Arabidopsis thaliana: one gene and its partner. The protein of the gene in region 2 interacts with the protein of the main gene of each other region in a pairwise test. Each region holds a gene or a part of one and is shown on either strand. Other genes may lie near its edges.

Region 1 (4,907 bases), on a different chromosome or scaffold from region 2:
CTGCAAAGCCAAAGTTAATCGGATACCAAAAGTAATTCAAGACACATCGGAAAGTACTGTATTATATCGTTTTTTTTTCCTTGTTTTGGGGGAGAAGAAAGAAAGGTTCTCTAGTAAGACTCATGACATGTTGTACAGAGTCTATATTAACCTTCTCTTGAATTCAGACTCGTTTTTGTAGAATTTCAAGTATAATGCAAATTCCCTTTTGTTAATCTTTGTGTGTTTTCTTTTTTGGGAAAAATAAGTCTTTGAAAATTCCATAAAACTTGAAAGTTTGTTCAAATATTATTCGACTGATGGAATGAAATTCTGACGAAAACGAATGCACGAATCAGATATTTGATGTGAAATATGTGGAATTGACCAATTTGTCTGTTTACGTACACGTGTATAATAATTGACAAATTAAAGTAGGACACTCGTATGAAATATAAGTATGACCAACTGCATAAATAAGACGTGTAGATAATCCTTCCAACGGAAAATGTGATTATAAAGAAAACAAGTAATCAGAGTCTTGTAATTTTTGTTAATAATGTTGTTGTGAGCGACCATTTGAATTCAATCCGACATAAATCATGAAATGTTAGAGTTATACAAAAAAAAAAATCTCTCTTACCTGAAAAAAGAGTTATACAAAACAAAAAAGGAGTTAAATTATATATATTCTACAAAATTCTTTAACCTATATAATGTCAAGTATTTTTAAGACTTATTCAAGTAACTCCGTGTTAAACAAAAAAAAATCATTTAATTAAATGATTCATAATTCTATAAATATATATTTTTAAAATTATTAGATTTATCATATATTTTCTCAAAAACATAAACAGTCGTATATGTATAGGAGATATATAAATACAGAATGTATATTTTATGATAGTTATAATTCCGCTATAATTTTCTTATAACTAATATGTTATAACTTTATATATATAATCCATCCATAGAAACATCATTGACGAATAACACAATCAAGAGGAACCAAGTAAATTGCATAGCTTAAAAGAAAAGAAGAAAGAAAATTCTCTTAGCATATGATAAGTAATAAATCCCCTTTTATCATATGACAAGGGCAAGTTACCAAGCCCTAATGTTTAAACCGGCCATAGCATATGATAAATAATAAATCCCCTTTTATCAAAATTCAAGAAAAGAAAAAGAAAAAAATCTTTCGTTACTTCGAGACTAATACATATCCACACATTTCATATATGTATCCTATCTTACACGTATGTATATATATAAGAATATATATATATATATATATATATATATACACATATATATTCGTTATGATTACCCCAATCCAATAGACTATGTATGTGTCGTATCTCTATATACATCGATCATTGATGATGATGTTGATGATTAATTGATGATCATTTGGGAGATAAGCCATCAACGAGACACTGCATGACCTTGACCTGCATACTAAGGCACTTGATGTAATGAGCCGTCTCTTCCATCAGCTTTGACGTCTCCATTCCTCCGCCTCCCGGAACAAGATTCCTCAGCCTCTCCGCCGCCTCCTCCACCACCGGAGCTCTCTGGTTACTCCTCCTCCGTTTTGATGATATCTTCCACTTCCTCCTTGAAAATCTTACGATCTTGTTGTCATCTTTGTCTGCTCTACGCAAGAGGGCTCTGCTCCATAGCCGGCTACTCCCTCCGGCTGCTCTGGCCATGGAAACGTACGCAGCCTTCTTGATCTTCCTCACGCGGTAGTTTTTTTGGTCCGGAGTATCAAAAGGGTTTTGTTTTCTGAGATTTGAGAGGGATTGGAGGAAGTGGAAGGCAAAAACGTCCTTTTCAGGGACATCTGTGTTTATGAGTTTGTCTGCAGAGGCCATTGTTTGGGTTTTTTAGAGAAGAGAACTTGAGTTGAGAACCTTTATAAAACTTTTTTTTTTTTGAGAATGACACAATATTAGGGTTAATATAAATGGAAAGGTGGAGAGAGAGAGAGAGATAGAGAGGAATAAATAATGTTTATTTTTCCTTGTACTTAACTTTTCTTTATGTTTTTTTATGTCACAAGACACACAACTATTCAAATTCTCTATAAAGTTTAAATTTAAACTATAGGTTCAACTATTTATAACTCATGTTCTAAAAAAAAAAAGATGTGTTAATAGCTTTGAAATATTGAATTTTGGAGCTTAATTGGTCCGTCAAAGTTACGTTGCGTAAAAATATGAGAATATGAAGTTATAAGTGGCAGTTTTCTTCAATGGTGAACAGCAAATAAATACAGTTCTATGTTTAACTTTGGGGGTTTACTAATATTAGTTCAAATTTTTTGTAGATTCGTCTGTTATGGTTTAGTGGTTTGACATCGATTGCTTACTGGTGGCTACTTAGATGTGTAAATATATCATTATGTGTTAGAATTTTAAAATGAAATGTGAATTGTATAACCCATGTATTTCGGAAAAGTATAATTTACACCTAGTGTTATAAAGTCTTGAATAAATAAATGGGCAATTAGTGGAAAACGATGTTTTGGAGCTTGAAGAAAAAAGTTGATGCCAATAGATTAACAGAACTTGGCTATTTTGGGTATATATATTTGACTATTTTGAAATTTGAAATATTAATGTATACTACACCCAAATACAATATATATAGCATTAATGCTCGTATACATCTTAGCTAAAACAAAATAATAATTCGGATGATGTTTAAGTACTAGACGCAAATTAATCAAGCTCGTTTGGTTCATAGCTTGGTATTAACGGAAAAAAGAGCAATTTAGAGCAGACATCAGATTATGGAATTAGATTCCAACCACACTATTATGTTTATTTGTTTGTTTTTATAAAAGGTTAATTTAGTGACGAATGCGTATGAATTCATTAACGTGAACAGCTAATAGAGACTATTATGATAAAATTAGGTAAGCTATATACATATATGTATGTATTTATGTTAACATTAGTTGACAACTAATGACGATTAAGATGGAATATGATCGATTGTGGAAAACATATAAGCTCATTTTCAAGGCAAAAGAAATAACAAAACCCAAAATATCAATTTAATTGATTCATTACTTGCTCGATATTTACTTCCACAAACAAAATTCAGCCAAAATCCAACTCTCGTGAAACGACTGATTGAGGATGTTTATTCGAAACTGAGTTTGAACTATACGTTAGTTTAGAAAGTAACACCATTGAACCTGAGAATAACTATGATTATTTCGACGATATAAAGTGTTAATAAACTTAATCAATTAGCCACTCGCATCATCAAGATAAAACGTGTTTAAAATTGATCAGATATATAACAAAGTATTCACCATGCAAGAGAGCAACAACAAAATATGAGATTATTCAATTGGCTTGACCAATAGATGACGTTACAATTTATATACACCAAATATTACTAACCAATTTAGAAAAGACAACACATGAAAATATAAAAGAAGAGAAGAGAGACTTGAGGAATACGATAAGTGTTTGGTTAAGGCTATAATTTAGCATTAGTCCCATCTCTTTTGTGTTAATCACTCTCTCCCCTACCGCTTTGCCGCCGGACGTATTTTTCACGCCATTTAATTCTTTTGTATAACATCATCATGATCATATTTATCTTTTTTCAAGATTCAGCTCCAAAATCCCTTAAATCTCACTGTTTTCTCTAAGGTTTCAAATTTCACATCTATCATAAAAATACGTTTAAAGATTAACAATTTCGGGTCAATAACAATTTACAAAATTGTTGATATTAGGAGTGAAACCAAATGAATAAGAAGGTGTTAATCATATAATAAGAACTAAAAAAGAGTTGAAGAAGTGGTAGAGTAGGTCCACTAATGGGCCAACCACCACATGAAGGCACATGGCTATGGCCTTTACCCACCTCCACTTTCCTTTCTCTCTTATCTTTATCTTTAATTTTTTTTTGTTCTAATTATTCAATTAATATTAACTACACCATTCGTTTTCTTTGATTCTCTTCTTAATTTAATAATAAGTCGTTGGGGGCGAATAAACTTTATCATACTAGTTGATTAAAATATCCCAACTAAAAATGTAAAACAAAAACAAAAGAATAAATGCTATTGGTCATTTAGTAATAATGATTTACAAAATGTTGAAAATCAGAACGTGTGAAAAGCCACGTAAGCACTGACGCCTCTTTTGTTGTTAAAGAGGAAAAAAGAGTGTTTGGTTGTTTTATTACGTTATGTTCAAAATGAAGACGGCTGATTAAGCTTGACGTTACAACTGTCGGCGACTTTGCTCCGTAACTGTTGACGTGGCTCCGTTTTACTTTCTCCGGTGGATAACATGACGGCGCTCATTTTCTTTCATTTTTTATTTAAACCTCAAAGATAATTTATGCGATCGACGACGACGAGTCACGAAGCAAACCATGACTCAAGCATATATAGTGTTTGTAACTTTATGCAAAAGCATATATAATAAACTCATTGAAAATGTCTTATATAACAAAACCAGTTACGAATTACGATAGCCTAAATAGATGTTACAAATATCTTTAACTATGTTTGTTGTAGTACAGACATATTGTTCAAATATCATCATAGAGAAGTCCATGTAAAACGGATTGAAGATCAATTTTCGGTAATTTAAATTCTTAAAAGAGAAGACCATGTCATATTAAAATCGACAGTAGGAAAGATCTAATTAGTTAAACATATTCAGACTCTCGGTCTAAAATAATTATAGACCGTAAGTTACGCGTAACACAAAAACGATTTGGTTGGTTAATAAAACTGAGGAATAAAATAAACGGACAGAGACAAAAGGGTTGCACGTGGGATAAATTTAATGTACACATACGCATACACACGTACATGCAAATATTGAGTTAAAAAACAGAACCGTGAAATAGAAAAAGTGGGCCAATCTTGCCTATTGTTAGAGAGGCAA
Region 2 (6,270 bases):
ACTGGCCAACAAAATATTGAGACGCGCGTTAACTCATCAACATCTTCTTCTCTCAAATTAAAATAGCATTTCGAGCACGTCCAGCACTCAGCTTCATCTACAATCACAGCAAGCCAAATTAAGCTTTCATGTTTCTCAAGTAGAGTTTTTTTAGTATAATTTAAGAGAATGAAATTACATTTAAGGAAATAAGATATGTTTATTTATTTGTATTAGACTAATAGAGTAAGAACCAAGACTTTAATCAGAGTTTGTCAGATTCATACAAGGTTAAATAATTCAATATTTTCCCAAGGCCTAGTTAAGCCCACCTTTTGATATTTACAGATTATATTTATAGTTCATTATAGGTGAATAAGTAGAACTTGGGAAATCAGACGTGATTGTGTACCAAACTAAGATCGTAAGAGCCAGTTTTTCAATTTGAACAAAGCCGTAATTTTTGAGGGAGTTCCTCAAATTTATTGGGTTTTGTCAGGATTGAGTCTACAATGGTTGTGCACCATATGGTTTATTTTCCTGCCTTCCTATTGTAAACGTATTGTTTTATATAAACAATAGAAAAAACTACTGATAATATGAAATAAAACTAATGTATCAGTATACTAGATGGGACCAATAGTTTATTTAACATAGTAGCATTTTTGTCTTTACTATCTGTTTATTTTTTCTATATGGAATTTAAATTATCATTCGTAACTTATTTTACACCCCCTTAGTTAATTATTTTGGTATACATTATGATTATTAAGTAAAAACAAAAATAATTATTGCATTCTCTTGATAATACTAATACATGAGATGATAGATCTCTCTTTCTGTTGTGTAGTACATCAATGCTTACCAACATTTGTAATTAATAAATGGGAAGTGTATTAAAGCCGATCTCTACCTCTTGTGAGTTTGTGCAAAACTCAGAATGTCCCATGTGCTTAATCATGCATATTGCATAATAATGTTCTTTACTTATCTTTGTCAATTTAATATTAATCTTAATCAAATACTATCAAACAGCTGAAAAACTGTATACGATGGTAAAAAAGAATTTTTAAGGTAAATGATGAATTTATTAGACCAAAAAATATTTAACAAGTATAAAAAATACATGGTAACATGACATGATGATGATGACGATGTTCTGTTATGTTATGTTCTCGTTTGAGAGGATCCTCTTTCCCAAATGTTAATCAGATCGGTTAAAACAACAATTTCATCGATCGGTATCATATTAATCAGAAAACAAAACAAGAATAATCTATAAAAAGTGATCTTATTCTTATCGAACACGAGTATCGTCTAAAGGGATAGCATGTTTGTAATCTTGGGGACAAATTGTAAACAGTAATATATGAAGAGAACATTATCATGAACCGTTGATGAATGAATGAATGTACCCAAATGAATAGAGTATAATTGTATGCATTTATACTGCATGTCTAAATATTATATGTCTAAAATAGTTGTCACAAGAAAAAGTGTTGGCTCTGGTGTTATCTTGTAGACTATTGCATTTTTGGACTAGCAAATATTTATCTCGTGGTACGTAGTTGCCGGGACAAGTTTAAAACTCCGACTGATTTTAATAAAAAAGATCAACAATAGAGATTTGTATTTTATTTTATTTTTGTAGTTGGCATCCTTAACATAAATCCAAAGAATTTTATTCAGCATTCAAATAAACCAATTTTAATGTTACCGAATGAAAATCTTATACAATTATCTTAAACATGAGTTTTCAAAAATGATTAATAGAAAAACCTATGTTATATATATAGAAATTTAATAATATACGGTATTAGAACCACATTCTGTCTTAAATAAAAAAAAAAAGATAATTAAACATACGTAAATCATTTGAGTGAAGTTAGTACAACCGAATTTTTTTTTTTTTTTTTTTTTTTTAGTACAACCGAATTTTAAGTTAGTTTTATTACTTTAAGCCTGTCATTCGATCGACTATGATATTTTTAGAAATATATGTTTCACTTACTTTTTGTAGTTACTACAAAATTGTGAAAAGTATATTATCAACAAAGGATTATAAAATTGAAGAAATCATGACTTCAGTGATCGAATTCTTTTAGTGATTAAAAAAATCAAGAAATTATGAAAATAACACGAAATAATTAATTTGCAAGGATGATAAAAAAAATGGTAAATTTGGTAAACGTATTTAACATGTCAAAGTCAAACCCTTCAAATCTCAAATATTACAATCTCCATCCCTCTTTTAAACACCATAAAGCCTTAAACCTCAAAAGACATTTCAACAACATTCATTTTCATTCTCACTCCCCACCAAAAAAAAAAAAAACAGAAGCCATGAACTCCTCGTCTCTTCTAACTCCTTCATCATCTCCTTCTCCACATCTTCAATCTCCTGCAACATTCGACCACGATGATTTCCTCCACCACATCTTCTCCTCCACTCCTTGGCCCTCATCCGTTCTCGACGACACTCCTCCACCAACTTCCGATTGTGCCCCCGTCACTGGATTCCACCACCACGACGCCGATTCAAGAAACCAGATCACTATGATTCCTTTGTCACATAACCATCCTAATGACGCTCTCTTCAATGGCTTCTCCACCGGATCTCTCCCTTTCCACCTCCCTCAAGTATAACTGATAATCCACTTTTTCTCTCTCATTTTGCAAATTACTACAAAAGAGAAAACATTCATTACATGTTCTTTTGTTAAGTCTTAATTTAATGTTTTCTGATATATATTTTAGGGATCGGGAGGTCAAACGCAAACGCAGTCGCAGGCGACGGCGTCAGCCACCACCGGTGGTGCAACGGCGCAACCTCAGACAAAGCCTAAAGTCCGAGCTAGGAGAGGTCAAGCCACTGATCCTCACAGTATCGCCGAACGGGTTCGATTTTTTTATTTAACTTTTCCTCATTATTCGCTTTTCAGTTACCGAGAAAAACGTATAAAGTTATTTAGATGATTAAGGTGATTATTGAAATATTTTGAAATTATGGAACAGTTACGGAGAGAGAGGATAGCGGAAAGAATGAAATCTCTTCAAGAACTTGTCCCTAATGGTAACAAGGTAAATTTTAATTATCTTCATTAGTCTAAATTTCGATCATCAAAGTTGATATAATTAAAAGAGTAGATTCAAATAATCCAATTTGTATTTTACATTTCTTTAATAGTATATATCTCAAAATGAATAATGTGTTAAGTATATGAGTTACACTGATGTATTTTAGTCTTGGACCACAAATTGCTACTAGTTTAGTAGGTTATCTAGAGATTTGGACTTTTATGCAGTCAAATGATTAAACACTGATTAGCTAATTAATTCTAAAATTTAATTGATAATAATACTTAATAAACAGATGCAGAATTGCTAACAAGGTTTTTTTTATTGTTAAAAATAATAATTAACAGACAGACAAAGCATCAATGCTCGATGAGATTATCGATTATGTCAAGTTCTTACAGCTCCAAGTCAAGGTGAATCTCTCTCTCTCTCTCTCTCGAATTATTTTATAAGATATGAGAATTTTAAATTTGTTTTTGTTATAAGAGTGGAAGCTTCTTTACCTTTGAGTTGACATTAGAATAAGAAATCGAATATGGGCCTCTGCAACTAAAATTCCATATGCTCCCTTTCCCTTTTATCTTGTAAATTATTTATCTTTTGCGTTTGTTAAAACATAGTGTTAGTGTATATCTACCTCTTCTTTTGCTTAATTATAATATTTGGCAAATTTATGTATGCAGGTACTAAGCATGAGTAGACTGGGCGGTGCTGCTTCTGCTTCTTCTCAAATCTCTGAGGTAATAATTTCAATTCCTTCTCTCTTAAAAGGGATGATAGGATGACGTGATCACTATATAGAATGAGATTTTATTTTTTAAACTAATTAAAAAGAGATGTAAATTATTGAAAAGGTTTTAGTTAGGGAATAATACTAATTAAAAAGTAGTTTTGTTTTCGACTTTCTAAAAACAAATGAAAAAGTTTTCCAAAAAATAGTAAAAAAAACAAAACAAGGACAGGGCACGCGTGCCTACTTTCTCTCCAACAAATACCAAAACCTCCCATTTCAACATCATCATAGCTTTAGGGTTTTGCTTTTCTTGTTTTCTTTTTAATTTTATTGAACATTTTCAGGATGCCGGTGGATCCCACGAAAACACCTCCTCCTCCGGCGAGGCGAAGATGACGGAGCACCAAGTTGCAAAGCTAATGGAAGAGGACATGGGATCAGCCATGCAATATCTACAAGGCAAAGGTCTTTGCCTCATGCCCATCTCGTTAGCCACCACCATCTCCACCGCCACGTGTCCTTCTCGTAGCCCCTTCGTTAAAGATACCGGCGTTCCTTTGTCTCCTAACCTATCCACTACAATAGTTGCTAACGGTAATGGCTCATCGTTGGTCACCGTTAAAGACGCTCCCTCCGTTTCCAAGCCGTGATAACGGCCATTTGTCCATTTCATTTTCCCTTTTTTGGGTGGGAAAGAGAGAAAAAAGTTTAGAAGACAAAGACAAGTGGGATAGGTGGTTTTGGTCAAAGTTTAGAAAGAATAAGGTCGTGTTTTCGGATACGACACCGTATTTGCGTACACTTTGGTTTTCTGTCTTTACCTACTACAAACCACCCATAAGCACACTCATGTTATCATGTTTTTTTTTTTTTGGTTTATAAAGTTATATCCTTAAATTTTCTATCACAGAACCGGTCTGGTCTAACAAATGTCGTCAATGATGATCATTTAGGCCAAAGAGTTTGTTTAAAACTCGTTATGCTTAAGTTTCTAAATCTACACAACACAGGAATGTAACACTTAAGCAGGCTTAATTTCACCGTTTTATATACTCACATACTGAAGAAATTTATTGTCAATCGCCAATGTGGTCAGCGGTAAGATCTCATATAAATCTTCCTAGTAGTGTTCAAGAAAATCACTATATATGCAGCAGGGGCTTAGAGTAGCATCTAACGTTTAGAACACCTAGTCAGGATCATTTTAGGTGGTTAAGAGTTTTGTAGAGTGAATTTGTATGGTATACCTCTACTATGACCTACTACTATAAACGAAATAACATGATCTTAATTTATCTTATAAGCACAAAAATAAACAGCAAGGACCGAGAAAACATATAAGATATAAACCATTTCCATATATACCAACGACCTCAAACGTTTACATGTTCAAACCGTCAGAATGTTTTCTACCACGATCGAAAAAAAATAGTCTGAATTGAAACAGAGGAAAATATAATATATCATTTCGTTGTAGAGTCTCTTCTTTTTATTGCTTTGGCATGAGGTTTGAGTTTTGACTTCAAGTACAAAAAATGAATTTATTTTGGGCCAAAAGCATGTGGGAAATAAATTACGGCGAAGTTTGGAAGTATTAGGCTTACAAGTACAATAGTCTGGGACACAATTTGACTAAAGGAGTGGGTGGCTACTAACTCCGCACCACACCCATTCATTTTTCTCATTTTTTACAGTACGATTGTAACCAGATCCCAAAACCTAACCTCTCGGCTCCTAAATAAGGCTCCAATAGTTAGTTTCTCAGTGACTTTTTTTTAATAGTGTAGAAAGTATATAAGATACATCCAACACCCCCATTGTTTAAACGGGTCAACATCAAGTTTTCTTTTCAACCACATAAATTTTCTCAAATTTAAATTGGGATGATCACAAAAGGACACTAATTCGAACTACTAAACTACATATCCAGCTCAAATTACTAATTAGTTTGGTGATTATTTGTTCAATTCGACACATAATCTCTCAATTTAAAAATTTATTTGTAAGATCAATCAATAATTCTATTTAAAAAATTGGAAAAGAGCAAAACAAATTCTAGGTGAAACAAACGTAGTACATTAATTGGAGAAACCATACAATGTACTAACACAAACTATCAGAACCAACTAGATTTAAAGCATTGATTCAAAACAAATCTGTATCTACCGATCAACAGTAGATTCTCATTTCCTGACCCTTAAATTTAAGCTTAGGAAAAGATGCTACCAACATGATTGACATGCAAAAATTAGTTCATACAATAACATATGTAAAGATAACAATCTATTACCCCATTAAAATATGTTGTTTCAAAGGAATAGATTAGAGAAAACGCATGAACTGGTTTAGCTTAATAGACCTAGGGCAAAAATAGTAATATCGATGAACAATATATGGTAATGTTGGATATGGGCTGCGTTGTTACTTATTTTACCCCTTTTGATATCTCGATCTTACAGTCAGATGAATCAAGTTGAATC

The links. Proteins that work in one complex are often made in the same cells at the same time.
Region 1: the proteins of LRL2 (region 2) and IBH1 interact in a two-hybrid assay, tested with the Arabidopsis thaliana proteins (one large-scale study listed by BioGRID).

Annotation. Positions count from the first base shown.
Region 1 is NC_003071.7:17,906,196-17,911,102, reverse strand, and holds IBH1 (ILI1 binding bHLH 1), read right to left. Parts: upstream 2,097-4,907; 5' UTR 1,857-2,096; coding exon 1,386-1,856; 3' UTR 893-1,385; downstream 1-892.
Region 2 is NC_003075.7:15,077,659-15,083,928, reverse strand, and holds LRL2 (LJRHL1-like 2), read left to right. Parts: upstream 1-2,153; 5' UTR 2,154-2,178; coding exon 2,179-2,619; intron 2,620-2,736; coding exon 2,737-2,877; intron 2,878-2,994; coding exon 2,995-3,060; intron 3,061-3,404; coding exon 3,405-3,470; intron 3,471-3,740; coding exon 3,741-3,797; intron 3,798-4,134; coding exon 4,135-4,440; 3' UTR 4,441-4,811; downstream 4,812-6,270. UniProt on the Arabidopsis thaliana protein: Transcription factor that regulates the development of root hairs. Transcription factor that regulates the development of sperm cells.